Notamacropus eugenii: one gene and its partners. The protein of the gene in region 4 purifies or fractionates together with the protein of the main gene of each other region. This does not show direct contact. Links are inferred from orthologs where the notes say so. Each region holds a gene or a part of one and is shown on either strand. Other genes may lie near its edges. The genes, in order: GAPVD1, FAM110B, FAM83H and CSNK1D.

The links.
Region 1: the proteins of CSNK1D (region 4) and GAPVD1 purify together in Homo sapiens (affinity purification with mass spectrometry; 5 studies listed by BioGRID and IntAct, counting the BioPlex papers as one, with this or other methods). This does not show direct contact. The link is inferred for Notamacropus eugenii from reciprocal best matches to the Homo sapiens genes CSNK1D and GAPVD1.
Region 2: the proteins of CSNK1D (region 4) and FAM110B purify together in Homo sapiens (affinity purification with mass spectrometry; 3 studies listed by BioGRID and IntAct, counting the BioPlex papers as one, with this or other methods). This does not show direct contact. The link is inferred for Notamacropus eugenii from reciprocal best matches to the Homo sapiens genes CSNK1D and FAM110B.
Region 3: the proteins of CSNK1D (region 4) and FAM83H purify together in Homo sapiens (co-immunoprecipitation; 5 studies listed by BioGRID and IntAct, counting the BioPlex papers as one, with this or other methods). This does not show direct contact. The link is inferred for Notamacropus eugenii from reciprocal best matches to the Homo sapiens genes CSNK1D and FAM83H.

What each region holds. Positions count from the first base shown.
Region 1 is NC_092872.1:447,544,127-447,551,792, reverse strand, and holds the start of GAPVD1 (GTPase-activating protein and VPS9 domain-containing protein 1), read right to left. Parts: upstream 3,373-7,666; 5' UTR 3,183-3,372; intron 1-3,182. UniProt on the Homo sapiens protein: Acts both as a GTPase-activating protein (GAP) and a guanine nucleotide exchange factor (GEF), and participates in various processes such as endocytosis, insulin receptor internalization or LC2A4/GLUT4 trafficking.
Region 2 is NC_092875.1:276,397,242-276,404,780, reverse strand, and holds the start of FAM110B (protein FAM110B), read right to left. Parts: upstream 3,181-7,539; 5' UTR 3,049-3,180; intron 1-3,048. UniProt on the Homo sapiens protein: May be involved in tumor progression.
Region 3 is NC_092875.1:85,158,371-85,166,419, forward strand, and holds the start of FAM83H (protein FAM83H), read right to left. Parts: upstream 3,142-8,049; 5' UTR 3,065-3,141; coding exon 2,747-3,064; intron 1-2,746. UniProt on the Homo sapiens protein: May play a major role in the structural organization and calcification of developing enamel. May play a role in keratin cytoskeleton disassembly by recruiting CSNK1A1 to keratin filaments. Thereby, it may regulate epithelial cell migration.
Region 4 is NC_092873.1:327,096,477-327,104,632, forward strand, and holds the start of CSNK1D (casein kinase I), read right to left. Parts: upstream 3,180-8,156; 5' UTR 2,842-3,179; coding exon 2,766-2,841; intron 1-2,765. UniProt on the Homo sapiens protein: Essential serine/threonine-protein kinase that regulates diverse cellular growth and survival processes including Wnt signaling, DNA repair and circadian rhythms. It can phosphorylate a large number of proteins.

The DNA of each region.
Region 1 (7,666 bases), on a different chromosome or scaffold from region 4:
AAACCCCATCATTTCACAAATAAAGAAATGGAGGCTAAGACTGGCAAAGGGATCTACCCAAAATAACACAGCAAGCTAGTATCATGGTCTGGCAGAGATTTCGGACTCTTTGACTCCAAATCCAATGCTCTTCTCACTGCACCTCTTCATCTACCCCTTCATTTCCAAGTCTTTAACTGAACCATACCAAAACTGGGAGATACCATCTAAATCCACAATGCAGTAATCCTCTCTACGAATAGTAATGTGTAAGATTAGCTCCCCCAAACCAAACCTCCATTAAAAGCACCAGGTCTCAATAAATACATAAAATGAATAAAAAGATTCAAATTTCAACCTGTTAAAATATTTATGGAGAAAGAACAGTGATATATTTTGCTTACATAAATAAAACATTAGGTCTTAGAAAACCATTTGACTCTATGCACTTCAACAAACATTTATTAAGCAATTATGTAAAGGGTACTATCTGCGAAGTAGGTAGTTCAACCATTATAATCCCCATTATGTAAACTAGAGACAAGATGTAGTCTCCTCAGAGAACTCACTCAATATTCAATTGTCTGAATCAAATACAGTAAAATTCCATTTTATCACCTTTCTCCCTTTTCTTCATGAAGAATTAGCTTCACTCTTTTTTTCATCATTATTATTTTACAGGGGGGATTCTCACACAGGGTGTTAACAATTATTCTACTAAGAGCTGCAACAGTAAAGTCATCCAGATATTGAGAAAACAGGAAGATTTATTGGCTGGTGAGGTTAATTCCAACACAAAGGTGAAAAACAATAAAACTTTAGAGAGGCTAGAAGAGAATTTTAAGAGAATGACTCACCAAACCTATTTACCTTCAAGTCTGCCTCCTTCCTGAAGGGAAGGTTAACAGCAAGACAGATCACATGCCTTTCATTCTCAATAAAGAAAAAGCAATCTGTCTTTGAGAGTGGTAGCATGTGTCTGTCTATAAATCAGAACATTTAAATTAAGACTAAAAAAACTGTTCTGCTACCAACTCCCAAGAGGACTTTACAGGCCTCCCATATCTCAGAACCAGAGGGAGCATAGGTATAAAATCTAAATGCCACAAAGCCACTTTATTATCCTCCTCAAATTATTACCCTGGCTTAACACTGTAACGTAGTATATTAAATGTTTATGTTTTATGCTAGCCTTCAAAACTAACTCGGCTGTGACCTAAATCTTTTCCTTCCTCTAATTAGCAAACTACTGTGGATACTGATCCCCTCCTTTTAGTCACTTTGTGATTTGTATATCCTTATTTACTAAACCTTGGTAGAGGAAGATTCTGACAGTGAAATAACAGATCCCACTGTATCTCAAGCCAAATATCCCGAAAGAGTTTCTATGGAGAACCCACTTCTTCCCATAAGGCTTCCAAAATTTCCCTTAGGCCATTCCAAAGACAAAGTTTCTTACTGAGCCCTTTCTTGATGTAGATAACAATATGCTAAGTGTAATAGAATGAACAATTCTGACTATGCTCCTAAGAACAAGTGAAAGAACACAAATCTTAATATTCTAATAACTTACAGAACTTCAAGTTTCCAAATCAGTTTACATAACATTTGAATCTACAACACTAGGGAAGTAGTGTTGTAGCATTATCACCATTATACCAAGACTGAGAGAGGTTGAATAACTTTCACATGCTCATGGTCCCACAGATAGTAAGTGTCACAGGCCAGATAGGAACCCTAAATTTCCTAACTACAAGCGCTAAGACTGTCTCCAGTTTCTACTAGAGTGGAAAGGAAATTATGAATCCAAAGTCATCAGTTCATGTAGGCACTGACCTGGAAACAGGACACCTGGGTTCAGGTCCTGGCTCTGATACTTACTAGCTGTGTGACATCAGCCAAACTGCTTTCCCTCTCTGGGTCTCAGTTTCTTCCTCTATAAAATGAGGAGACTGGACTAGATAATCACTAAGGTCTCTTTCAGTACTAAGAGTATATGAAACTTGAGGAATATAAGTTCATCCCCAATGGCTATTATTACAACGCATAGAAGCTACACCTTCCCTGCCCTAACCTAAAAATAAAAGATTCTTTCCACTCCCATATCCCTATAATATAAAACACTAAGACCCCAAATGGGGTCACAAAGGGTCAGACAGGATTGAAACAGCAACAAACTCCTCTGCCTTTCACTAAAGGCACCCCAGAGCCTAGTTCCAATGCACTTTATTAATCATATTTCATACAATTCCTCTTCATGCACTCTTTCCAACCAAAATACACTACATACCTCCTTTTCCATCCAGCCCTCTCCTGTCTGTACATTCATGCCCAAGTCCAGAAACCACTCTCTTTACATCCAGACCTACTGAAACTCTCCCCGTCCATCAAAGTCAACTTGGATTGGAGCTCCTTCACACAAAGCTTCCACTGCTTCCCCCTCCCCACTCCAGATTTTCCCAGAGCAGTCTGTCTACAACTCTTCTTTACTATATACTATATAAATGTTACCTCACCCCAGCCCCGGGAGAGGGAGGGCAGAAGCACGGCGACAAGAACACCAACAAGACGTGTGCTGGGGGTAAATCGGAGGTGATCCGAGGGAAGGCCCCGGAATTGGTGAGGGTCTACAAGGGTTTCCGGGAAGGGTCCGTGTCTATTCCTTCAGTGAATTACCAGCTAGGGACTGAAACTTCAAGCCCCCCGCGCGCCGCCCCCCGCCCCCCAACTCCGGCTGGCTCCACCTGCTCTGTCTTGTTTATTTTCCCCAAAGCCCTTTCCTCCCTCCTCTCTCTGCCTTCCCTTCCTCCATCCCTCACCCCTCCCTCCCTCCTAACCCTTTCCCGGCCCCGGCCTCGGGCCTCGCCACGCAGGCCGACCTCCTCGCTCCGCCCGGCTGGCTCTCCCACCTGGCAGCCCTGGCCCCGGTTCCTCTTTCCGCCCCCTCCCCCCTCGCTTTTCCCCTCCCCCCACACTTCCCCACTCGCCCCCTCGGGGTGCGTCCCGACCTCCCCCGACCCTCCCAGCCGCAGAGGGCAGGGCCAGGCCTCACGGGGTCTGGCACCGGGGCCGACGCTACGCATTCCGGGCTCCGGACCGGCCGTGAGGCGCCGGCTGTGGGCCTAGGCCCAGGCGACTGGGACCGGGCCTGGAAAGGGCGGAGGGAGCCGAGGGGGCAGAGGGCCGTGAGGACCCACACTCACCAGGGGAGACCAGGGCGGGCGGGCGGAGGCAATCTCCGGGCAGAGGCTGAGGCTGGGGCTGAGGCGTCGCCTGTCGCAGCTCCTCCGTCCGCCGCCACCGCCGCTCCCTGCTACCTTCGCTGCGTCCAGGGGCTGCCTCCCCTCACTCAGCCGGGCCACCAGCCTCCGCACCGATGCGCATGCGCAGAGCGGGACAGGCCGCGTGGCCGTCGGGACTTGTAGTTTCCGGACTGTCTTTTTCTCCGGGTTTCCTGCCTCCTAGTACTTGGATCAGAGCTGTACGACCTTGGGCGTTTCGCTTTCTCGTTCTGTGCCTCACTCCCTCTGCAAAGCAGAATTTTCTTTTTGGTTCGAACCTGTGTTTTCATTGGTATTGGGATCTAGTGAATAACTTTTCTCTACCAATGCAGATGGGCAAACTGCGGTAAGTCCAACATCATCTCCGTGCCCAGCAGGCGCTGTGTCCAGCACCGGACCGTGTCTCCTAGTGCCAGTCACCTGGCATGTTCAGAGTTTAAGTGATTTGGCCAGCATCAGACAGCCAACAGGAGTCCGAGGCTGGACCTGATGCCAGCTCTCTCACCACCTCCCCTGCCTCTCCGGTGTGCTGGGTAACATCTCCACCCATGAGTCCCTCAATGCTAGCCCTGTGACCTTGGGCAGGTCACAGGATCAGAAATTTACATCTGTCCTCCAGGCTAGCCCCCTCCTTTTTTACAGACGAGGAAACTGAGAGAGAACAGAAGCATCTTCTTTTAACACTAGTAGAAAGAAACGGAGGAATTTGAACCCAGCGCCTCTGATCCTGTATCAGAGATCAACACAGATTTGATGAAAAGTCAACATTTTGTTTATAACAGGTTTTCCCCCCTTGCTTTTTCATTGAAAATCAATGGTTTGTTCGTAGCAGGGTTTTTCTTCTTGCTTTCTCCTCCCAAAGCAGTGGGGGAGGAGGAAGAAAGCATAACTTTATGGAAATAAAATAAAATGAATTTTTAAAAATGTTTTCTCCCACCATCTACCTACAATTGAAATAAATACAACAAGGGATGCTGTGAGGCTCAAACGAGATAATAGCTGAAAGCACTTTGCAAACCTCAAAGCACTATATAAAGTTACTATTATCTGCCTACATTCACCAGGCTTCCAGTTTGTGGATAACTTCAGTCCCTTGCAAGAAAACAGATAGTTAAGTAAACAGACAGATAGTATATGCATATACACATCTTTAAGTTCGGTCTGGATTATTGACACTGTATTAAGTCTAGACAATAAAACAATAAATCAGTCCCTAATTTTTAGTGACAAATTTCTGGGGTATAAATGCACAAATGAAATTTTAATAACCAGTTCTTGGAAGCCAGTTACAGCTTGTTCCAATAAACTCTGTATACAACCACCATAACCTTAATCTTCTTAGCTATTTTTCATCTCTTGGAACCCTTCCCTTCTTAAAAACCCAGATCAAGTCTACCTTTTCCTTGAAATCTCACATGCTCTGAGTCTCAGAGTTGGAAGGGACCTCACGGGTTATCACTTCCAACCCATACCTGAACAAGAATCCTTTTTCACAACAACCCCAAGAAGTAGTGATTCAGCATCCGCATGAATCCCCACCCCACCCCAAATGTATTGCACCAGGACAGAAGGAAACAGAACTGCATTTTTTTAACACATCTTAGAATCATAGAGGCTTTGGGGAATACAATTTCTGTTGCACAGGGCCGTGGAGCTGCCACAACTTACTCCTGAGCTTGTAATCCATTAAAAATCCCACATCTTTTTCACAGGACCTTTTATCTGGTCATGCCTAACCCAAGCCCTATTCATGAAGTAGATCTTTTTGAAAAGAAGTATAAGGCTCCACAGTTATCTATTTCAAATTTATGATTTTTACACTTTGCACTTCATGCTGTAGCCTGTCAGGATCCCTTTGAATCCCAGCTGTCATCCAACATGGTAGCTACGCCATTCATCTTAGCCCACCCAAATCTGCAAATTTGACAAGCATGACACACTTACACCTTCAACCAAGGTCTCTGATGAAAAAAAAATTAAACACCACAGGACCAAAAACAGGTTGCTGGGCATCTTTACTAAATATTTACCTCCTATGTTGATATTAAGTCACAAATCACTATTTTTGGGTGCCCAATCATTCAATGAGCTCTAAATCCACCAAACTATTCTATTATCTGGCTCATGTCTTTCTCTGTTATCCAGGGAAGCGAAGGGGAATAAGTATTTATATAGTACCTCATATGTGCTAATACATTTTTTTTTTTACAAATATTATATCATTTGAGTCCTAACAACAACCCTACAAAATAGGTGGAGTTATTCTTCCTATTTTACAGTTGAGAAAACTAAGGAAAACAGAGATTAAGTGACATGCCCAAGGTCACAGAGCTCGTGAGTGTCTTTCTGAGGAGGCTCAGCACTCTATCCCCTATGCCACCAAATGCAGAGAGCATGAAATACTTTGTCAAATATGCCCCTGAAATCCAGGTATATTACATCTAAAGCATTTCCCTGCCAGTCTAGTCAAAACCCTGTCAAAAAAAGGAAATGAGGGTAATCTGGCATGACTCATTCCTGTTGAAGCTACTATGATCCTTACTTATCTCTGTTTTCCTTTATTATGTTCCCAATCCATGCCTTTGATAATGTATTATGGAATCTTATGGGATTTAAAATCTGTTGAGCACACCAATCTCCCTTTTTTGGAAAATCTGGACAAAATTTACCCTTCTGCAATCTTGTGACTTCTTTCCAATTCTCCAGTATCTTTCAAAGCTCACCACTGACCCCTCAGCAATTCTAGTACCTGATGAATTCAATTCATTGAATGCAATTTAAACATCCTCTTATCATCTCATCATTCTTTTAGGATTTTAATTCTTCATTAAACATTTTTGCTCCATTCTTTCTAACCCAAAGATCTTTCCCCTTAGCAGTGAAAATGGAAGCAAAATGAGAATATAAGAATTGAGTAACAACCATTTCTCTGCACTCTGTTATCATCATCCTGTCTTGTCTTATCTGAACATGGGTCATATCCCTTCTTTTTGTCCCCCACACTCAGAGCACCTGTGATTTCATTCTGATGTCACAAGTTTCCTACATAGATCTCAACCCACTCAGGACTTAGTAAGTGAGTCCTAGGCACATACCTGAAGCAAATAAATAAGAGACTTATCCTGCATCTAGGAATTAGTTATTTCTCTTAAAGAAGTGATAGAGTTTATTGTGAGTTCATATTTTTTAAAATAAAAACAAACCCTTTTTGTTGTCCCAACATTCATGAACAGCTACTAAAGTTCATGTTGAACTTGTACTGCCTCTAGCACTGTTTTCCCAAAATCTTACTAATATTTTATAATCCTCCTCCACTGCTGACCTTTACCTCTAGGTTCCATGTGTCTTTCAGTAATGCAGATTGTTAGATCCATTCCTTGTAGGCCTACATGTCTTTTAAACAAGTTCATTTTTTTTTCCACAATCAGAATTTTTTTTTTGTTTAGGGTTTAATATTCACTTGTTTGTGTATTTACTTTATCACTCCATTAGAATATAAGTTCCTTGAGGACAGGAACTTTTCTGTCTTTGTGTTCCTAGCACTTAGCACAGTATCTGCCATGTGCTATAAATACTTGATGAATTGAATTGTATCTTCAAATTTTCTTTCTTGAGTACTTCCCATTCTTTTTTGGTTGACTCTCCACAAAGAATTTTAGGCCATGCAATCTATCTAATCTTTCTGTAGTCTCTTCAAAATCTTCTTTGTCGAAATTTATCATACACATTACACTATGCCTATCAGTCCTCTCCTCTTTCCAAAAATCCACAATGAAGATGTATAATCTGCACTTGAAAAACTTTTTTTATTTTTGGTCTGATATCAATAAATATAATATTAGGTCTGATATAAATAAAAAAGAATCACAAAATAGTTTTTCTTCTTTCTTTGTCCCTCTTTTGAAGAACAAAATTCTCATTAAGACAACTCAAGAGTGAACCAGCTGTTCTGCTTTTAGCACATATCTGAATAGTTGAAATCCCCCATCACTGCTCTCTCATACTTTCTTGCCAGATTTCTGAGCTATTTCTATTGACTCCTTCTGTCCAGGTGGTCTGTAACTTATTTCTATGACAACATGACTTCTTTTTCTCCTTCCTCTGATTCTCCAACCAAATATATTCCACTAAGGTTCCCTCTTCAAGTTCCTGAAGTTCTTTGTGTGTATATGTAGCAATGTTTGGTTTTGAGGGGTTTTTTGTCTTGTTTTTTTTTTAACCCAGACATAGCAATCCCATGGATGAGGGTGTGAGCATATGTTACAAGGTAGAGCAACATCTCTAAGGTGCTGTAGAAGACAAATATGCCCAACTCCACTTTCAACCTGATACTTGACATTAATTCTTTCACATCAGATTTATAGGCAATCAATAATTAAAATTCTTTTAAAATTACACTATAATAA
Region 2 (7,539 bases), on a different chromosome or scaffold from region 4:
AGATGAACTAGAGAAGGAAATGGCAAACCATTCTAGTATCTCTGCCAAGAAAACCCCAAATGGGATCACCGAGAGTTGGACATGACTGAAATGATTCAACAACAAAATCAATCTGTATGTATATTTTAACATATGCAGGAGTGTGGAATACTTGCCCAGTAATGCTGGGCAACAGAAATGAAAATAGACATAATAATAGCGCCTCCCTTCCTGGCTTATTGTGAGAATCAAATGAGATAACTGTAAAGTGCTTAGCACAGTGACTGGCTAATAGGAGGCTCTATAAAAATAATAGCTACTATTATTATGGCAAGGAAGGTTAAATACAGAGAGCCAACTAGTCCAATCCATTCTACTTACCAATGAGGGAAGTGCCCAAAGAAGTTAAATGACTTGCCATGGGTCATATTTCTGATTAAAGTCAGGGTACATCTCCAGATTCCCAATCCAATGCTTTTCTCACTATGGACTATGATATCCTACTTTCTCAATAAATGTGACACAGTCTGCTTACTCCACATAGCACCATCTACTGCCACTGCACTATCTTTGCTTTCAAGAGCCAATAATGTACTACTTTTCAAGAGTAGAAGATGAATTTGAAAATAAAAATGTCTACTTTCTTGAAAAAAATTTAGTATGAAACTTCTTTCAGAAAACTAGCATAGTTTTTCTTTAATCAGGCACATTAGAAGGAAAGTCTTTTCTTCATTATCCACATAATTACTAGACATATTCCATTCTAGCAATTTCATCATAAGGGTAGGAATAAAGATATGATGGTTTTATTTTTTTATTCCCTTAAATATGGTGTGATACTTTAGGCAACTCACATATTCTTATGGTAAATTTTGACTGGGAATATTACCATCAACTTGTATAAGAAAAATGTTCTGAGATCAATTTAAACTTAAAAGCAATAATGCATCTTGCTAAAGGATTTAGGAGCATAGGCAAGAGAAATAGTGTCTAGCTACATTCTTTCCAATTTCTGGGACCCTTTATGCTGCTAGGTGCCTTAGGAGACTTTGTCTATTAACTCTTTCAGGATGCAGCACTTAGGTACCAGGGCAATGTACCGCTATAGTAATGTACCTTTAGACACTGGGAAGTTAATCCAACTTTGCCAGGCAGTAAGAATATACAAATCAGTACTTCAGTCTAAAAAGGAAACTCACAACATCAATTAATTTTGATGTAGGGTTAACCACAAACATATTTGGGGGGACAGCTAAAAGGGTGTGGCAAAAAGCAAATTTCCAAATAGCTCAAATATATTTCACCAGCTGAAGTTCACTCAGTATTCACTGATTACCAAGAAGTTAAAAAAATTACTCCTATCCAAATCATTTTTATTTGTAATTTCATCCTGGTGTATCATATGTTTGGCTTAAGCAATTATCAGCTATAATAATATACTGAGATATCGTCAATGCTGAAATCTATCTTGTCAGGTAAAACTTGGGAATAAAGTTAATAGTTTCATGTCATATTTGGCTGACCACAGGCTGTGATGCCATATATTAAACACAATAAACAGAATCATAAAAGTGAAGAAAATAGTTGAATAGGAAGAAAATAAACAAAAGATCTTTGATATCAACAGAGGGGAAACCAAGGAAATATCTTTTGAATTGAGGACTCTTTAATCTTACTGTCATAGTCCCTTTTGAAAATAGACCAGTCAGTAGCCCTTTCAAAGTCAACCACTGAAAGAGTTAGTCTCATGTAATGTTGTGACAGATGTGTGCCAGATTTTGCATCGGACATAAGTTTGGCCCCAAGGAAAAAGCCCAGAGCATGCCTACATCACAGGCAGAATAGAAAATGAGCACATTTATCATGATGCTTACTTAATCTGCCTAACAACCTGAAGGGGTTAAACAGCACAGTCTTCCTATTCTCCCTTGTACACCAGGTGTTTTCTCTCCACTTTACAGAGGAATTAAAGGACACACCAAAGATCTCTTCCTTCCCCATAAAGCTGCTTAAGGGGTAGGGGGGAGGGGTTGAAGGAAGGCGTCCCTATTCTTTGCACTATCCATGTCTGTAGTAATAACAATAATAGGACAGAAATCCAATGCTCAGGCAGCAAATATAAGGGGCTTCCCACAGCATCCTGGATATGTTTTATTGCCTAGTTACTGAACTCCACAGAGCGATCTGGGGCACTAGTGAACCAAAGATAATTTAATTCTCCTTCAAATTTGTGTGCTTTCAAAGAAAGCCTAGACATTTGAGACCATAATGGGCGGAGGAAGGGGGACAACTTCCAGAGCCCCAGGATTTACAGTTGTTGCAACCTCCCAAATAGGGATGGGAAGACAAAGCAAAATTATCATTGATGTAGTTTCCCCAGAAGTATTTGGCACAAACGATTCGATTTTCTTTGAGGAAGAACCACAGAAACCGGGCTAGGAAAGTAGGTCTAAGATCTGGGTAAGTGGTGATCCCTTCCCCCTCCCAGATTAACTTCTGAAGCTGCAACTTCAAGATCTGGGGGGGCTTTCTAAACAAGTCACACACACACACACACACACACACACAACTTCAAACAGCAGCAGTTTTCTCCTCACTGAAAGCTGGAAACTTCAGCCGCTTGACCTAATAACCGGTACCCCTTCCTATGAAACTAAATCAAGCAAAACCAATAAAGATACGACAGAGGTGCAAAGAAAGGGAGGTGGGGGAGTAACCATATCCCAGCGAGAGTCCTGCGGCTGATCCGCATTGTTGCCACCCACAGATGGGGTCTGGATGCTACCCCGCAGCCGGCACTGGCCAGCTCGTACAAGGGGTACGAGGAGAAGGGGTGGAGGGCGAGGACCTGGGGGGAGGGGGCAGGATCTCGCTGGCTTCTGCCGCGTATCCCGGGCAGCGGTGTCTGCCACAACTGGAGGCGGCCGAGGCGGAGGCAGCTGGGCAGCTGTGCGCTCCCCCGCCATCCCCTGCTTCCAGCCTTCGCAAGCTCGCTCGCTCCGACGGCTGGCAGCCCAGCGTCGGCGGCGCGCATCCCCAACCCCCCCAGGCTCCCCGGCCAAGCCTCACCTCCTGCCTCAGCAAACACGGCCCCTGCAGCCTCCCCGGAGACGCCGACTAACGAACCCCGAAGGCAGAAGTGGAGCGAGAGTCCCTGGAGAAGCCGCCGCCGCCTGCAGTGCACGAACCGCTTCCTCCAGACCCTGAATGAAACTCCCCGGAGCTGGAGCCGCCGCTGGCAGAGGAAAGAAGAGCTCGGCAAAACCGGGCCCTGCCCACCGGCCCCCGCACCCGCGGGGGAGCTTGGCAGCGGGCTGCTGCCGGCCCCCGCTGCGCCCTGCGCCCCAACTTGCAGGGCAGACCGGCGGTGAACAAAGTGCGGTCTGGTCGGCTCCTATCGGGATCCGTGAGCTTGCCGAGCCCTGGCCGAGAGAGACAGTGATGTCGGGTTTATGGCCGCCTTAGCTTGTGGAGGCAATGGTTTGGTCCACACCGAAGTGGGAGGGCTTAAGGGATGTTTAACTGTGCAATTGAGGGAGGGAACTTAGTTTGAGTTGGGGCTGTGGCGTGTGGGAGCTTGTGTTAGCTCACCCTGGTCAAGCTTTATTGTGACTGTTATTATTATTTCAAAGCAGGACCATGGGGAGTTCAGAGTTTAAAACCCAAAAAACACCACCACACAAAACCACCGAAATGACAAAAGATAAAATTCTAAGGGTTGGGGTAGCCTGCCCCCAGTCAATCAATCAAATTAACCAGTCAGTAAATTAACATTTATAAAGTATCTATTATGTGCCACGTATTGTGCTAAACGCTGGGAATACAAAAGAAAGGTATGAAAACAGTCCCTGACTCGCAAGGAGCTCACAGTCTAACGGAGGAGGCGATGCAAACAGCTATGTCCAAACAAGATAGATACAGTATACACACTGGAAATCGACAGAGAGAAATCATTAACTTTATAGGAGATCGGGAAAGATTTGCTGCAGAAGGTGGGATTTTAGATGGGACTTGAAGTAAGCTAGGAGACAGAGATGAGGAGGGAGACAAAATTTCCTGAAATGTCAGGAAAGCTGACAGCAAGTGAAGGTGCCCTGAGATCGGGTCTTGTTCGGGAAACTGCCACTGGGTGTTTGGATCTGAGTAGGGGAGTGGGGGCAGGGATTAAGATAAAAGAAGAATGGAAAGGTTTACGTGCATCAAGGTTTGAAAGACTTGGAACCCCACAACGGATTATATGTTTGATCCCGAAGGTGATAGGAAACCTTTGGAGATGAATGAAGGGAAGGGGGGGAGGGGAGGGCGAGGGAAGGGTGCCATGGTCAGAATTTCAGAATTAGGCACCATACTTGGTCATTTGTACTTACCTTGGTGACCATGGTTATGTGGGGCCCTTTTGTATTTTCTAAATTTTGTGTTGCTCAATACAACCTTTTTTTAAAGCACTTTTAAAATTTTTCTTGAAGAACTTTAACCCTCAAGATTTTTTAAAAGGTATTATGAAGAAAAAAAAAGGAAATCTTTTAAACGTAAAAAGTTATACTCTCTCTCCTCCATACAACCAATTCTCATAATTGTCTAATTAATATTCCAAAAATGCAGCTCTAACTATGCCCCTCTTCTGCTCAAGAACGTTCAGTGGTTCCCTATTACCTTGAGGATAAAATACAAACTTAAATTTGTTATTTTAAAGTCTTTGTTCTGGCTCTAGCTAGTATCTTTATAGACCAATTATGAGCTATTCTTTATACACATTGTTCATACAGCACTCTACTTATCAGGCTGCCCTACTTGCTCCTTCCTGTTATAAGATACCCCATCTCCCAATCTGTGTGCCTTTGTACAAATTGTTTTCCATGTATGGAATATTCTCCCTTTTCTCCTCAGTCTCTCAGAGTTTCTACCTCCCATCAAGGTTCATGTCAAGTGCCATATCCTCTAAGAGGTGAGATTCCTATCTTTGGGATTCCCACAGTCATTAGTGCCCTTGGACCTGTATTTATTTGGTTTGTATCCTGTATTTGTTTATCTGTGAACATCCCCTTAGTCCAGAAGTTCTTAACCTTTTTTGTGCCATTTACTTCTTCAGAAGTCTATCAACCTTTCTCATAACAATATTTTTAAATGCATAAAATAATATACATAGGGTTACAAAGGAAACCAATTTAGAGAGAGGTAGCTAGCTGGATGGATGGATAAAAGTTACCCCTGGTTAAAAAAATCTAAGCTTCTTAAGGTCAGGCACTGTCTTACTTTTGTATTTGTATCCCCAGTGCCTGGAATATATAGTATACCAGTGCCTGGTACATAGTAAGGGCTTAATAACTGCTTATTGATTGATTCCTTGACAAAGTTTCTACAGTGTGACCCCCAAATCTACTTTTTAATTAATGAACATTTTCTGAATAACTCAAAATTGCTATTCTTATTCTTGGCTATATTTGTTATCATTTTCCTTCAGAATTTTGTAATAACTAGAACTTTAAGAAGGACTAATTGTATGATATCTAAACTGACATAATCATTAATTATGTTAACTAAAAGTATACCCAGCTTACGCAAACATATCAAAATTAGTTCAGCACTAGTTGTTCATTTTCAAAAGAATTATTCACTTAAAAAAAAGGTTTATCATGGAATTATTTATAACAAACTGTTACTGCAGTTTAAACTATGATTCAATTAATACACAACTTTTCATTTGTATTGTATTATATTGCATTGTATAAGAAGGCTATACCTACATTTGAACTTTCTCAAAAATGCTTATGTAGCAAAGGAAGAAAATTTTTCTCAGCTTCAACTCAGAAATGACTACATGTATTTAATTCTCATAATACTTTTTTTGCTGCCAAAAATAGGTATGTTTTAAGAACGGTAACATGAAAAATAGGTTTTAAATAGAACTCTTTCACATGCTAATGTCAGCACTGTAATAATAAATTATATCAGTGTTAGTCTCTCATATTAATTCAGTTCAACTGACATGCATAAGAGATTATCTTATTTGAGTTTCACAATAACATTATGAGGGTAGGTACTAGAGTTACTGTTATCTTTATTTTACAGATAAAGAAACTGAGACTCAAATATATCAAGCAACTTGCCCCAGGTCACATAGATAGGAATACTCAAGAAGCAGGAAGAAGAACCAAATTCTTCTATTCTTTTTCTTTATTCATTTGATCCTTTTGATCTGTGAGTCTGAAGACATAGGTTCCTATAGGTTTGTTCTATAAGTACCCAGATCATACTGAAGGAGTCACTAATGTTTAAGCAAATATGTTGTCTAATATTCCTTTAGCATTTTAATAATAATAATATGCATTCAGAGATAGGAAAATAATGAAATATTCAAGTCAGAAAGTCCCAGTAATTCTTTTGTCTTACCAAGTATTTTGAAAAAAAAACTAGGCCTCCTCATCCCATTTGTTTGAAAATGAAGATAAAATCCTACAATAGTAACCTCCAAGGCACCATCCAAATTTTTTGTTCTGCTGGAATTTTCCTGCATACAATATCACTCAAAAAAAACCCCCAAACAAACAACTGAGTCATCAGCCTAGAAACTTAGAAATCTTTTGTTTTAGAGCTGTGGTTGTTGTTGTTATTGTTGATTTTTGCTGTAAAAGGATATGGCAGGATTTGACCATCCATTCCTTATTCAACATATTACTTAGACATTTTTCACAGAATATTACAAATATTTAAAGTATTTGTAGCATAGCAAACACATTACTCTCTGTTTTGTAGGAGATGGGTCAAGCAAACACCAAGAATTACCCCTGGGGATGCATTTGCAAGAGCCAGTTAATGTAGGAAAATATTACTATTTTGAACAGTATTACATTTTTTAAAAATAAGAACATAGTCCAGTCAACAATAAGTATGATTTGTTTTACAAACTCTTATTTACTAAATTTTAATAGGTCATAAAAATATATAATAAGATCAAGAGAAATAGATAAATCAGGAAGAAGGCACTGTCTCTTTCAACAAGGTAATAAAATTAAATGGAGATAAGGAAACAGCGTTGGTAATTAACACTGGTAGTTGGTTCCTGTTCTGACCCTAAGGCTGTTCAATTTACCTCAGTATTTTTATGGAGGGATTTCCAGTTAAGGCATGAAAGGTCATAGAGGAGCCCAGCTCTCCCATATTATCTCCAGGGAGAATCTAAAAAGATACCAGATCACACAATTATTAAGAAGTCCAAAGAGGCAAATCAGTAAACCAGGACTATACCCAAAAAAAGATAATGAGAAGCCCACAGTAACACCACACTTCGGATTGTCCCAGAGGAATAGAAGACTGCCACAGCACCCTTACTGGGAATGTCCCAAGGGTTCCAGGAGTTCCAACAGCCCTCCAACCAGGGACACTCTGGGGAGAATGGAAGACCATGGTAGCATCTTCACTGAGCATTCTCCACAGGTAGGGGGGAGTGAGGCAAAAGACCACAAAACTCTTATTGGAGAAACTGAAACTTATCAGAGTTCTGAGCAAGGACACATCAAGAAAGATAGAAACCAATGATTGGAACCCAAGAAATTAAGATCA
Region 3 (8,049 bases), on a different chromosome or scaffold from region 4:
TACCCATATAACCTTGAGTTACATCAGTTTCCCTCTCTGAAAAATGATTGGGTTGGATCAGATGACCTCTGAGGTGACCTCCAATTCAAAAGCCATATTCCTATAAATTAGCACAGCCTCATATACAGGGTGTCCCAAAGGTTAAAACTGCACTCGGACTTTTGGGACTTCCCAAGTCTTCTCTTCCCTAGGCTAATCATTCCCAAGTACACTCAATCAACAAGCACTTAAAGAGTTTACTATGTTCAGGCACTAGATAGACTAAGCTTTGGAGATAACAAAAAAAAAAAGACATTGCCGTCCGTGCCCTCAAAGATATATGCTAAGGGCAGAAACATATGTAAATTAATTGGTAGATACAGAATACACACAGTAGATGGAAGGGTCCTTCAGCTATTACTCATGAGATGAATGGTAGGTCCTTCCCCAATCTGGCTGCCTTCCTCTGTTCTGTCTCTTGCTTATCAGTGCCCTTCCTAAAGTATGGCACCCAGAAATGAACGCAGTACTCCAAATGTCTAACCCAGGCAGAATAAACAGAGTCTCAATTTAACCCATCCAACACACTTTAAATGACTTATTTTGCAAGACACCGATCTTGGCTTTGAGGATACAGAGACAAAAATACAATAGCTCTGTCCTCAAGACTTTACATTCTGTACAAGAGGTCCAACATGGAAAGAAGGATGCCCAGGACAAGGAAAGTTAAGGAGAGAGAGGGTGTTAGCACCTAGGAACATGAGGGGTGGCTTCAAGGAAAAGGTGACACCTGAGTTGACCCTTGAATGAAAATAAGATTCAGAGGAAGAGGGAGTTCATTTCCAGGCCAGGAAACCCCTTATAGCTGAACAAAGCAGCGTCAGACTAAATATATTGTCTCCTCTGGTCCTCAGAATAAACAGTTCCAGTAAAAGCCAGAGTGATCCCAGAGAAACCTCTAGTGAACCCTGAGAGATCCTAGCTGAGTTGAGTGTACTCCGCCCCAGAGACATTTCTGAGAGACCCTGACTGACCCCTGGTTGACCAAAGATGATCTGGTGATATTTTAAACTAATCCTAAAAAGCTCATTCTTCTGTTATCTTCAAACTTGGTTATGCCCATAGAGATGCTTCAAGCTTCCCACTTATCAGCACTTACCAATCCATGTCATTACCACTAATCCATGTCTAATCTATGCAAGCATATACTGAATGAAATGTAGTACACTGCTCACAACATTTGACCTTTCTCATTCCATTCCCTCCAGTTCTATGTCCCAACCCTCTACATCTTGCAGGATTCTCCATGCTGGATAAAAGAACCCAGGAGAACCTACCCCCTGGGAGACTCAGAGAGCAACTGTTTAATACCATTCCCCATCCCCCCCACCCCACCAAGCCTCACATCTGAGTCCCTGAAATAGCCCCAGCTGAGTCTGAGGCTACGGTCAGCCTCCTTAATGAAGTAATGAGTACAGCCATGGCGTGCTTCCCCGATCCCTAAGCACCTAATAAATGCCAGGGAAGGGGACAAATCAACCAGGAAACTAGCCCTTAAGGGGAGATGGGGGCAGGGCAGAAAAGGATGCTTCGGACATGAGCTTTCTCTGCTCCCCATCAGTCCTGACTCACCTTACTCAGCCAGTCTCTCCCATCACAAACAAACATGAATGTATACCCTGCACTTTAAGTAAACAGATGTTTCCCCATATACACATGTAGACATGCATATACCCTCCTCCTGGGAACATTCTCCTAATGAGAACACTGCCCCCAAAACACACATATACACACTGTGCCTAACACAGTATGATCTGAATACATAGGTACATATGTATCCTCTCCGTAGGAATTACTTCCCCCCAATGCCTCCCCTCTTCTTATCATCTGCCTAGCTCAGGCTAGCCTCCTTTATCCTGTACTCAGCCCTGTAAAACCAACTCACAGACCTTTAGTCTCCTGTGTGTCCATTTGAAAGTGGCCATTTCACTTTTTTCACGTTCCTCACCTGGCCAGCAAAGTCGCCCAAAATATTCCCCATCACATATGTCTACTAAGCCCCCTTGACTTCTTCCCAAAAAATATTCCATCATTGCTTCTACACAGCCCTCCCAGAATATAGCCCATCATACATGCTTATCATCCTTCCAGATTCCTACTTGGAACACATTTCATTTCATGCCATCAGACATTCTCCAAATCCCTGTTTATAATACACTCCATCATACAACTGCTAACCCCCTTGCCCAGATCATGATCCATCAAATGTTTGCCAGTTCTCCCCACTCCTGTTTAGAACATGCTGTATCATATCTTTCAGCAGCCCCTTCCCAGAACATGTTCCATCACATATTTGCCAACCTATTGCCCAGAATATGTTCTCATTCCCCAAATTGTTTGCCTCCCTAAATATCATATGATCTATCTCCCAGCTCCTTCTAAGATAGACATTTCATCAAATGCCCAATATACCATTAAAGCCATCTGTCTTTTCTATTGCCTTTTCCGATCAACTTTCCCTATACACAGTAGCTATTCCTTCCCAAAGACTCAATGATCAGCCAGTACCCTTCCCAAGAGGACATAGTCCTCTCTATCTAGTCCCCTCAGGGTCAGTGACCAGCTTGTCCACTGATTGAGATGTCAATGACCAGTCTATCTGTGGAGTACTGACTATCAGTGGTTCATCCATCTCTTATTGAATCCGTACACCACCTCCAGTGGTACCCCTTGACTGTGGGCCCTGGTTCTTCTCTCAATGACTTACCTGACCATGCACCTGTTCCTCCTGCTCTTCAAAGCCACCTGTCCTTAGCTGCTCCAGCTCCAGGGCTAACTCAATCCCCTCCATCCGTACCCATGCGTGCTCCTCTTGTAACTGCTCAAGCCATCGCTGCTCCTCTTGCCATAGCTGCTCTTCCCGCCATAGTTGCTCCTCCAGCTGCAACTGCAGCTGAATCTGCCGCCGGCGGTCCTCCAATAAGAGCTGTTCCCTCTCCAGACACAGCTGGACCTCTTGGAGTCTCAATACTTCCTGTGCCAGGGCTGGGTCAGGGCAGCTGGCCCCATATCCCCCCAGCTCCATGGCTGTGACCAACACCAGTTCTTGGCTTGCTGTTGAAGCCTCTACCACCTCTACTGGACCTGAACAATCTGACCTGACCACTGGTCCAGGGTGCCCCACAGGAACTGACTTGCCCATCTCACCCATCTCCTCTATCACGTGGTTTCCCTGACCCGCCCCATCCTGGGGGCCCCCTGGGGCCAGTGGCCTAGTCTCAACTACAGAGCCTGTCTCACCCCCTCCCTTCCGACCCCGTCCCTGTCTCTTAGTTCGGGGTCTACGGTTCCGACCACGCTTTCCAGACATGATGTCCAGTCTAGGTTGTTGCCCCTGAAATGACTATCTGCACTGCCCTACTGGTCACAGACCACTCTCACTCCCCAACACCCCAGAGGGCCTGGTCATGTTGCCCAAAGTGTTATCTCTGACCAGCCTCCAGCAAAGATAGTGTTTGAGGATGGCACAAACTCTCAGAATTGAGTCCCAAGATAGGCCAGTCCTCAGGCTCAACCCCCCAGTGGTCCCGTGCTTGCCTGCCTGTCAGCCAGCCGGTATCCTGTCTGGTCCGTCTGCCTCTCCCCCAAGCACCCTCCCGGTCCTCCAGCCGGCACCTCTAGCCTGAGAGCCTTCTGAGTGTCTCTCAGCCCAGGAAGGCTGGGGCTAGGCCAGGCTAGGTTGGAGAGTTTATAGGGACTCCAAGCTGCCGCCTCTCAGCCAGGCCTCAGAGGCTGACTAACAGGCTGACACATGGCAGCAGGGACTTTATGGGCCACAGGCCTGGTTAGCCAAACCAAAGTAGAACTCCACAGAGACAGAGCAAGAGAAGCAGCTTTCACAGAGGCAGGATCTGACAATGTGTTTACAGCAACTTGTTGGGTCCTGTTTCTGGGCTGGGCGTATACCCACAGCACTGCCTTATATGGAGTCACTTCAACCCATTGCTGATAGACCGGGAAACTCAAACCCCAAACCCTCACTTATCTTGTGTGCCCTGGACCCTTAAGGAGCAGAGACGCCTTGAACCCTTACTGACCAGTTGGTTTTGTAGTGACAAACCTTTGATCAGTTAGCTGTCCAAATAGTGTAGCTGTTCAAAAAAGAATATTAAGGGTATCTTAATTTTGAAAGGTCATATGGTATAAAGGAAAGAACATTGAATTTGGGTGCTGAGGACCTGAATTTGAATTTGAATTCTAACTTTCCTACTGTGTGATGCTGACAAGTCTGACTCCTCTAAATAATTTTGAACATCCCTTTCTGCTCCAAAAATCCTAGGAATTCAGAGGAATTCCAGATCCCCACTGATAATAAGAAACCCAAAATCCAAGCCCTCCCTGACTAACTGACTAACAAACACTTCAGCCTCCCAGCCCACTGACTGAGCCTTCACTGACCAGGGAAACAAATCCCAAATTCCACAATTCTGAAGTCCGTGTGGGTATGACTATATTTGCTACTAGGGGAATGCTGTGGGAATACAGTACAGAGAATATAATCCCTATGCTCAGAGCTATTTGAGAAGATTTTAGCTGACACATGGAGTCTTTGAAAGGTTTACAAAGTGTTTTACATACATTATCTCATTTGATCCTCACACCAACAGATAAAGTGGGAGACCAAGGCTCAGAGTTTAAGTAATTTGCCCAGAGTTACATCTCTAGGAAATATCAAAGGCTAAATTCAACTCCAGGCCTCTCATGACTCCAAGTCCAGGGCTTTTTCTTTTATACCATGCTCCCTCATGAGATATGTAAGAAAAGAGTACTAACAGTACCTGGTGGCACATAAGCAGAATTAAGTGAGTATTGGGGCTGATGGGGATACACCTTGACCTCTGCAGGCTCAGAGGGATGTAACAAGTAGGAAGAGAGGGATCAGTCTGTCTGCTGATCACTGAGGGAACCCTGAGCTCATAGACAACCTGTAAGGGTTGGTAGGTTTGGGAGTCAGTGGAGGGCACTTAGATGAGCAAATGCTTAGATGTGTTTGAGAGCTGTGAGTGGCCCAGCTGAGGGGGGAGCATGATGGTTGCCTCCAAATAGTAAAAGAGCTTCGAGGCAGAATAGTGGCCTGAGAGGGCAGAATGAGAAGCAAAGGGTGGATGCTGAAGGGAGGGCAGATTCAGGGTGAAATGTCAGGCAAAGGTTCCTGACAATAAGAGCTGTCCAAAAGTGAACTGGGCTTCCACAGGAGGTCCACAGACAAATACTGAATGACAACTTGCTGGGAATATGGATTCCCACTTAACTATGGGTTAGATTAGATTAGACGTCTGAGGTCCCTCCTTGATCTGAGAACATGAGAATGGGGAATCATGCAGGATGCAGTCAGGGAACCCAGGGACAAGGCCCAAGAGAGTGCTGACTCCTGTCCCACTTCAGCACTTCTCCCCGCTTCCCTCACCACTCCATCATTTACATGATATTTCACATGAACTCAAGACTTCCTTGCTTATGGGAGTGGAGAAAGGGGGCTTCTTTAACCAAAATGTAATTGTTAATCAAATTCCTCTAAAGTACATGGATATGTAAAAGTCCAGTTGAGGTTGGTCCTAAGGAGAGAGAAAAATAGGAGAGAGGGGGAGAAGGGTGCAATTGGGTGGGGCCCAGATGAGACAAACAGTATTAAAGAAGGGGTATGGGTGGGGGTTCTCTAAGAGTAGTATCTTGATCCCTCCCCTTCCTCACTTCTTCCCACCACAGTCTGCTTTGGGTGAGTCATACCAACGCCCAGAGCTCAATAAACTCCTCAACCTACCGGCCCTTCAGGTTTGGCCTCCCAGACCCCTCCCCCATCACCTTGATTCTCCACCCTTCCCTCCCTTTCTTTCTTCTCCCCATTGGTCCTAAGAAGTGGAAGAAGAGAAGCCCTGGGGGGAGGGGTGTGCTGGGCGAGATCCAGCAAAGTGTTGGAGAAAGTAGTTGCCAACGTAGCGTAGGGCTATTGGTAAGCATGGAAGGAGAGGAGAATCATAGGTGCTGCCTCACCTCCAATCTTAGTAGCAGGGGGCACTGAAGCTACTTCTATCGTGAGTCCCCAAACCCAACCCCCTCCTGGTTTAATGGGAGGCCTGGTGAGTCACAGATCTTTCTGGGGCTTCAATTTCCGCTTTATGCTTTATGGGAAGAAGCTGAGGCTACCTCAGAAGGAAATGGACTAGCCCTTGGAAGCCAAGAGCTGAGTTTGGGTTCTTGGCTACTGGACAGACATGTTCAAATTTACATCAGACAGACATCGCAATGTAACTTGGGACTGGAGTGTGGTCGGTGGACAGGGTGCTAGATTAGGAGTCTGGCTCTGTCACTTATTACCTGTGTGACCCTGGATCTCAGTTTCCTCATCTGTAAAATGAAGGAGTTGGACTAAACCTTTCAAGTTTATCCCAGCTCTAAATTTATGATCCTAGGACCCTTTGCTCTTCCTTACCCTCCATGTACAACCAGGGGTCAGTGTTTGTCGATTATATCGCCAAAACATCTCTTAAGTCTATCTCCCTTTGAAACTCAAAGTTTTAAAAACAAATGTTTTTACATGTAACTAAGGAAAAATAAAAAGCAAAATTTAAAAAGGAAAGAAAAATCCATCTCCTTTTCTCCATTCAAATTCCCATCTCCCTAATTCAGGCCCTCATCAACTCTTAATAACAACAATAATAGTAACTGACACTCTAAGGTTTTAGCATTAAATAACCCTCTGAAGTAATTGCTACACTTTCCCCCAGTCTCATACAGATGAGCAAACTGAGACCAGAAAGGCTGAGTGATTTGCACAGGGTCATAGGGCTAATAAGTGAGACAGAGTTTGAGTCAAGATCTCCCAGGCGCTTGGGTTCTCAACCCAGGAGTCATCTTGGATTCTCCATTCTCTATTACTCGCCCCCCATTTCCAAGCTGTTGCCAAGGTTGTCACCTTTACAACATCTCCCTAATATACTCCCTTCTCTTTTCTGACACTGCTCCCACCCTGGTACAGGCTCTCATCACTTTTGCTGATGAATCAATCTGCCTCTCCCCACTACAATCCATTCTCTCTATTCAAACACTAAAATGGTTTTCCTAAAGTGCAGATCCAAACTTGTCACACATACACCCCCACCCCCATTCCTTATGGCTTATTCCCTCCAGTAACAAATAGAAAATCAGTTTGGCGTTCAAAATCCTTCATAACCTGCCTTACTCCCTAGCATGTACTCTTTGATCCAGTGTCCCTGGCCTCCTGGCTGTTTTGCTAACAAGACAGTCTACCTCTGAGCTGTAGGCATGTTTTTCTGGCTGTCCCCTCTGCCTGGAACACTCTCTCTCCTCCATTCCAACCACTGACATCCCTGGCTTTTTTAATCTTCCACCTTCTATAGGATGTCTTCCCAAATTCATCTTCCTTCCAGTGCCTTCTCTCTTTTAATCCCTATTTATCCTGAATTTAGCTTGTTTTGTGAACATTTGCATTTGTTTGCATGTTGCCAGGACCCCATTAGATTCTAAGCTTCTTGAGGGCCAAGACTGTCTTTTGTCTCTTTCTATCCTCCATGCTTAGCCCTGTGCCTGGTACTTAGTGTGGGGATAATAAATGTTGTTTGATTCACTGTGGAAACCCTTTAAACCAGAGAACAAAATTTATTTAATAACAAATACTTCATATGGAAAAATATCTTATTAATATGATGTATGAAGCATTTAAGCTAGAGTAATCACACTCAGGAAGGCCTGAGTTCAAATGTGATTTCAGACATATGCTAGCTGTGTGACCTTGGGCAAGTCACTTAACCCTGTTTGCCTCAGTTTCCTCATCTGTAAAGTGAACTCGAGAAGGAAATGGCAAACCACTATAGTATCCTTGCCAAGAAAATCCCAAATGAGGTCAGTCACAACTGCAAAAACAACAACAAAATTTCCTTTAAGTTCATTTTTTACCTGGACAATCATACCAATCTCCTGACCCACTTCTGTGCCTCCAATTTCTTCCCTTTTAGCCTATGCTTCCTATTACTGTCCTGCTTATATAGCTAG
Region 4 (8,156 bases):
AGGACCCAGAAAAGAAAGGAGAAAAGATGTCTTTATAGCAATAAGTAGAAAGCAGAGATATTATTGAAATTCAAATGACATCTAACCTTCAAAGACATATAACCAAGCAAAATCCTAAACTATTCAACACAAAGAACACCTTACTCTTTAAATTTGTACACTATTTTTCCAAGAACATGCTAGAAAGGAGTTACTTGTGAAAAGTAGAATTTCTATGAGAAAAACTGGGAAAAAAAGTTTTCAGTTCCAAAACTTCTGCCACATTCAAGTATTATTGCTCACACCTATTCCATTCCCACATGCTGAAACAACATAGATCATTTATCCAAAAGTTAGTTTTCCCAGAGAAAATGATGAATTACAAACTTACCTTCCACATTTTAATAGTCAAAGGATTGTTTCCAGAGTAGAAAATTCTCAGGTACTAGCCTGTAGTTTTGCTAATGACTAATTCTATATAAGCCTGACACCAATTATTTAGCCTTTCTGGGTTTCTTTCCTATCATTAAAAGGAGAGTAACACTGATTAACACGGCATGGAAGGCAAGTTTAAATTACTTTATCTTTAAGCACTTGGAAGAATGTGTGCGTGTGTGTGTGTGTGAGACAAACATATAAACTTCATCAACTAAAGGCTACAAAAATAATGGCACTGATTTTGTAGGCATTCCAACTCATGGCACATCCTTTCAGTAGTAGACAATCCTATTTGTGATCCTTCTTAACATTCCTAAAGAATTCAAGTTATCTAAAATTCTCCTCCTTCCACACTCCCCCCCCAAAAAAAGTTAATTGGTGGCAAAAGATATCTATCCAAAGCCATTTAAGTGGAAGAAACTGGGACCCAGGAAGGCTTTTCAGTCACTTACCCAAGGTCACAGAGGGATTGGATATAGCACCCTGGGCCTTCTACCTTCTCCATTTATGACTCTAATCATGGTTGCTACTGTTGTCAAGTTTATGTTTGGTAGGAAAAAAGGAACTAAAGCAAGAACGTATCTGTAACAAGGTTGCTGTAGGAACTGTAACTGTGGAATTTCCGGACTTTTGACTAGTGTGTAGTTCTCCATTTCCACACTGCATTAGCGTTGTTTTGACATTTTCCCCCACGAGTACAAAACACATGGAGATTATTGAACACATGGGGATCCCAGAGAGAGCAGTAAGATGGGGCTGTAGAGTCTTCTGAAAGAGACATGGCCTTTGTTTATTTTTGGACAATACAGTGGAGAGGTAGCAAAAGCCCTACCCTATCCTCTCTAAAAAGCACAGACACAGTTACAGTAATCTGATCACCAGTCTCTTAGATCTTCACTGAAAATGCAAAGATTTCCTTTGGTGCACTGTGTTACACCATCCCAGGTAACTAAGAACACAGCTCTCTCAGATATTTACTTACTGGCAATTGCATTATAGCAAATATAGCCATCCATTACAATAAATACCCCCTTCATAATACCATATCTAAAAAAAAAATAAAACATAATAGTTATTTGAACTCAAATCCACAGCACTATTGACACAAAAATTTATTTCTTCATTCAGACTCTTAACCATATTAATTTCAGGAAGCAATATATTTCAAACTGTTCTAACTTTCAAGAGCTACTGCTGATTTCATCCCTTAATTTCAAAGCCAAAAGAAGCAATCTGGTATAAAGGAGAGAAATACGAATCCGGGAGTCAGAAATGGGTTTGAGTTCAAGCTCTATCATGAATAAGCTGTATGACCTTGAACGTGTAAAAAAACCTCTTCGAGGCCTCAGTTTCCTAAGCTATAAAAATGGGGGATGAGGAGCAGGAGAGATGGACTGCTTAAGGTAACTTCCATCTCTAACATTCTAATAAAACCCTAGGGTCGAAGTTCTGCTGATGAAATGTGAATTAACCTTCCCCTTGATGTTAAGATCTTTTCCAAAGAAATTATTTTGGAGACTCAAAAAGTCAGACCTAGAATCAGGAAAAAATTAGTATCAGACCTTCCATGACCCTCTAACCCCCAATCAGTTCGGGTTCCTGAGCCCTCAAGCCAATGATCTGGTCTCCTAGGGCAGGGCCAGAATCTGATTGGGGGAGGTGGGGGTGGGAAAAGGTGGGGAGTTGAGAACAGGATGGATGGATGGTCTGAGTGGTTAGAACCTAAAGCTGTTACACCAGGGGGTCTTAGATCTCCCCCAAGGATTCACCAGAGAAGCAAAATGATTCACTCTCAGAAGGGGCTAAAGTAATTACAAGCAACCAAACAGGACGCTGGAAAAAGTCTCACACCCTCCAGGCTCCCCGCTCTTTCCCCTCCCCCCGGCCATTAATTAGCTCATGGGGAAGGCAAACCCCAAAGGCCAGCCCAACCAGGTTTCCCAGGCAGGTGTCAGCTGCTCCAGGGGCTCGAGACTCGAGTTCGATTCCCCCGGAGAGCCGGAGATGGCCACCGAGGGGTATGAGGACCGAGCCCAGGCTGCGGCTCAACAAAGGTGCTGGGGTGGGGTGGGGTGTTTTGTCTGGGCTGAGGTACACCACAGTAATGGGGAAACCTGGGGCAGAGGGTAATGGGGGGAGAGCATCCCGGGGTGATGAAAGGCTATGATGGTCCAGGAAGACTGGCGGAAGCGACGAGAGGGCAGGAGCCGGGGGCGGGGGGGGGTGGCAATGCGGGGCTGGGGGGTGAAAGGAAGCCGAGTGTATGGGGGGGGCAGTATGGAAAGGGGGGTAGTTCGCTGCGGGAGCAGGGCCGGGGGGGGGGGAGGGGACTGGGCTTCAATCCTCACCAAGATAGATGTCTCCAAAGGAGCCGCTGCCGATCTTTCGGCCCAGCCGGTACCTGTTCCCAACTCTCAGCTCCATGACGGTGGTGGCTTCGGCTCCGGCCTGGTTCGCTCCCTCCCCTCCCGACCGCTTCCTGGGTCTGCGCTCCGGGGGAGGCGGCGCCGCTGCTGCCGCTAATGCGGGTCCGGCTCCCGGCTCCGCCCCCCTCACGGCCCCGCTTTCACCATCGCTTTCCGGCCGCCCCGCCGCTCCCAGCGCCTCAATATGGGGCGGATGGGACAGTCCGAGCGCCGCCGCCCCTGCTCCGGCCCCCGCCGGCCCCGTTCGCCCTCTCCCCACCACGGATGGACTCGGATCTTCCGGGCCTAAATCCCACTTCAGCCGCCTAAAGGAGCCGCCGCCATCGCGCTGTGACGTCACTTCCCCTAGCAACCCGGCGGGGCGGGGCCCGCGCTGCTCTGGGGACACCAGCGGGGCGGGGGCGGGGAGAGCGGAGTGTGAGGGCAAAGGCGGCCGGAGCCTGCGGCTGGGCGGGTGGGCTGGGGGTGAGAGCCTCCCTGGGCTTGTGTGGTGCGCCTGGCCCGATCGGTTTGGCCGTGGTCTCTTGGAGGACGTGTCAGTAGTGACTCACCTGGGGAAAGCCGAGCCTTACCTGTACATCAGCCCCCCCCGCCGCACCCCTAGGCAGTGACCCGTCCAGATCCCCCCCGTCCAGACCCCCCCGTCCACCTAACACTTCCTTTTCTAAACCAGCCCCCCTCTGCCATTGAGACCCTCTCCAAAGCCTCTGAAACAAACCCCCGAAATGGGGAGAGCCGAGGAGAAGGCTGGGGTCCCAGACCCCTTTGGCTCAGTTCTACCTGATCACCGCCCAGACGGCACTGGGGAAAGATTCTCGGGTTCGGGATCAGTTTCCCCCACCTCCTCGTGGGCCCAAAGGAGCCTGTGGCCCGAGCCTGTCCTCACCGGCCTCTCCGTGGTCAGGGCAGGGGCAGGACTGGAGGCAAACAAGCTGGGGAGAGGAAGCCCTGCAGAATGTCCACTTAGCCCTCTTCTTGTCCTGGGCAGCTGGAGGCAGGGGAAGAGGCGGTCTTTTAAGAGCCCAAGAAAGCAAAGACTTGGGGCCCTTGTCTTGGAGTCTCGGGAAAATGGGAGTTCTCAGCAGCCTTTGAAATCCATGGTGGAGAACTCTCTCTCTCTGTCTTTGTGTCTCTCTGTCTCTCCCTGTCTCTCTCTCTCTGTCCCTCTCTGTCTCACTCTCTGTCTCTCTCTCTCTCTCTGTCCCTCTCTCCCTCTCTGTCTCTCTCTCTGTCTCTCTGTCTCTCTCTCTCTGTTCCTCTCTCTCTCACCTAGACCTGTAGGATGAAAAATAGCCAAGCCTCACAAGAGAAAAAAACAAAAACAGAGAAAGGGTAAGGGAAGGTGTAGAGAAGGGATTTCAGTTGACAAAGGCCCTATAACTGTAATCCCTTATTACAAGAGATTCAAAATGTGGACGGCCCTTCTGAAGTATTCAGAGGAAGCCCACCGTCCAGTCTTTCTCCTTAATCTATACTGAATTGCTACCTACATCCAACTCCAAGCCTTACTGCTGACTGTCTTAGACTTTTGCACTAACATGCTTCACCTTGGAAGTTTACTTCACCTCTGGAATTCTCATACTGGAATTGCCCTCTGCCCACTTGAGCCTCTCCCTCTGGTTACCGGGTTGCTTTCTAAGCCTTCATTTTAAGAAGGATGCCCCAGTCAACCATGTCTTATTCCTCTTTAGGCTGTGCTTCTGACTTTCCCCAATTTTCCGTACCATTCCCCATCTCTTCCGGTGGGTACCCTTTCTCTCCCCTCCACTTCCTTCATGTTAGAAAGTAAGCTCCTTGAGAACAGGAAATATTTTTCTTTCTGAGAGCAAACACTTAAATGCTTGTTAACTTGACCACTGTATTTGGTTGCTGCTAAGATATTCCAGAAAGTTGATAACGGATAGCGGTTTCCAGCTGTTGTCCAAAATATTTTTCTCTTTCAAATAAATCCTTCTAGAAAATTAATGTCAAGAAAGATTGTCTCTCTTATATGAACTGAAGCTGAGTGAAGTGAACAGAACCAGGAGAACATTGTACACAGTAACAGCCACAGTATTTCATGACTGACTTTGATAGACATAGCCCTTCTCAGCAATGCAAGGACCTAAAACAATTCCAAAGGATTCATGATGGAAAATGCCATCCACATACAGAGAAAGAACTGTGGAGTCAATGCAGAGTGAAGCAGATTATCTTCTTTTTTTTGTATATTTTTTCTCTCTAATGGTTCCTCCCATTCATTCAAATTCTTCTATACAATATGACTAAGGTTAAAATGTTTAATAGTAATGTATATATAGAGCCTATATCAAATTGCAAGCCATCTTGGTGAGGGGAGAGGGAAGGGAGGGGGAGAAAATTTAAAATTTATGAGAGTGAATGTTGAAAACTAAAAATAAACAAACTTAAAATTATAAAAATTGTCTCTAATATAAGGGGAGGGAGGGTTGGCACATAATCAAATCAATTGCATTCTGGTTCCTTCCTGCCTTTCTAGTTGTCTTACAATGCTCTTTACTGCCCAGAGATTCTAGGCTTGTTTCAGACTTCATATATAACACTCTATCTCTCATCTTTGTACCATTTCATTGGCCATCCCAATGCCTGTAATATATGCTCTCTCTCCTCACTTTCCCCTACTCACCTCCTGCTTCTGGAATCCTTGGTTTTCTTGAAGATTCAGTTCTAACACCTCCTTCTAGCACTTTCTGGTCCCCCGCTGTGAATGCCCTCCCTTCCAAAACCGCCTTATATTCATTTTGTATATTTTGTTGTTGAGTTGGACTCTTCATGACCCTATCTGGGGTTTTCTTGGCAAAGATCCTAGAATGCTTTTGCCATTTCCTTCTGCAGCTCATTTTACAGATGAGGAACAGGGTTAAGTAACTTGTCCAGGGTCATACTGCTAAGTGTCTGAGGCCAGATTTGAACACATGAAGATGAGTCTTCCTGATTTCAAGCCCAGTGCTCTATCCACTGTGCCACTTAGCTACCCTCTATTTTGTGTAGATTATGTATATATTTGCATATATACATGTCCCCTCCTTTAGTTCACACACTCCTTGAAGACAGGGAAGAAGACTGTTTCACTTTTTTCTGGTACTTAGAAAGTACTCCTTGAGGGCAGGAACTGTCCTTAATGCTGGTTGATTGATTGATTGGTTAAGCCAGTGTGTGCTAAGTGCTGAGTGGGTCCATCTTGTGTTCAGGAGGTCTAGGACCTATGGTATGAGGGCTTGCCTAGTCATTTTCAGGGCTGCTCCTCCACCTTTGGTGTCTACTTGATTCACCTGACATTTCAGCTGTGACTCCAAGAAGCTGTAGCATGAACTGTGGCCACACTCCAGTAAAACCTTCTCAGCAGATAAACCAGAATGAGGGTAACCAACAGACCTCAAACATGTCGTGAGTTACGGAGATGTCTACCCCAATCATGTGAAGACTTTCCTTGGTGGAATGGGCAGATGACAACAATTTGTTTCAACTGCCATGAAGCAGGACGATTAGAGTTTGGTGAGGTGTAGAAGATACCAGGGTCATCCTCTACATCCCAGAGTATTGCCAATCATCCTTGACTTTTGTCCTGCCACTGAATTTCCATGACTCAGGAAAAGAGAGTGAGAGTGATGACTGCAACACTGCCTCACTTAAATCCAATTCACACACAGGGCAAGACCCGTGTGTCATGGATCCTCTTCAAAGACAAAAAACAAAGGACAAACAACAACTAAGCACTCATAATACAAAGACAAGAATAAAAGAGTCCTTCCCCTCAAGAAGCTCACCTTCAAGACTCTAGGACTTTTTTTAAAGGATCTTTGATCTAGGAAACATTATTTCTTGAATGGTGTCTACTAATCTGAAAAATAGGGACATTTATCTAAACCTGAGCTGGATTTTAATGTTCTTATTTCAATCAATAGATCAATAGATTATATGCCTTCTAAGTTCTAGGCAGTGTACTAGCTGTTGGGGAAACAAAATAAATGAAAAAAACCTACTTACAAAAAACTTACATTCTGATGAGGGAAACAACATATATGCAGAACAAACATAAATACAAAATAGTTAACTGTAAGATAGTCTGGGAATCAGGGGAAGGAGGTACTGAAGTTTAGACATAGCTGGCCTTCCAAAGACTTTAACCCTTTCTTCTATTAGGGTGGCAGGAGGCCACCCTATAATACTCAATTATAAGTAAGTGTTTTGAGAAAAAAGGAAAGTGGATTCTAAAATCTATAAAACAGAAGTATAATGAATTTTTCTAGAAGGACTAATCAAGCAAATAATAGCTTTTCATATTTGCTATTACTCTGAATCCTTCTACCGAGAGGAGTAAGATTATTAGATCTATCAACAAATACTCCAGAAGTCATAATAACAATTTACATTTTTAAAGTTTTAAGACTGCCTTCTTTTTACACTTATCATCACCCATCCCTGTGACTTCCCAGATCACAACTTCTCTGGCCTCCATTTTTCATATGTGATGACCTCCTCCTATCAGAATGCAAGTTTCTTGAAGTTAGGGATTACCTCATTTATACCGTTATAGCTTATTCCAATGCCTGGCACAAAGTAAGAAATTATCACATGCTCTTCCTCTCATTCGTTCAAAGTGTATATACATCATCTCTTGATAATGAGGCCTGTGACATGGGTACTATTACTGTCCCTGTTTTATAAGTGAATAAACTGAGGCCCAGAAGTTTAATGTGGCTTGCCCAAGCTTATACAGTAAGTAAGCAGAGTTCAAACTTAGGTCTTCTAAACACCAAGTCCAACTATCTTTGTGCCTATTGTGGTTTGTACAGTGTACAAAGAAGTACAGGCAGTCTCAAGCTTACAAATGAGTTCTGTTTCAAAAGTTTTAAAGTTATTTCTTTGGAATTTCAAACATGTTTTCCCAATAAGAACAATGTTATAAGTAACAGCTCTGTTCCCAGGTAAGCCTACAAACCTTCCTCCCCCTCTCTGTCCAACTTTTTTTTCCCTTTGCCTTGAAAAAACCATAAAGACTAATAATAGTACTATTTCAACTCTTCCTAATTGCCATATTCAGCATTTTTCCTTGGGCAAATGCATTTGAAATTCTAGGAACACACATGCTTTCCTTACCTTTGTAGGAACTAGAGGAAGACAAATTAGATTCTCCTGGACATCTGTAACTTAGTTCTCTGTAACTACATAAGAAGAAACTTCTCTGCCTCTCTGTAAGAAACAGATAGTGAATTCTTTTTTCAATTACTCCCTAGGTAAAGGGTTGATTTCGCTTTGTGAGGCTCCATTTTCATGTGCAGGGAATTTGTAAAA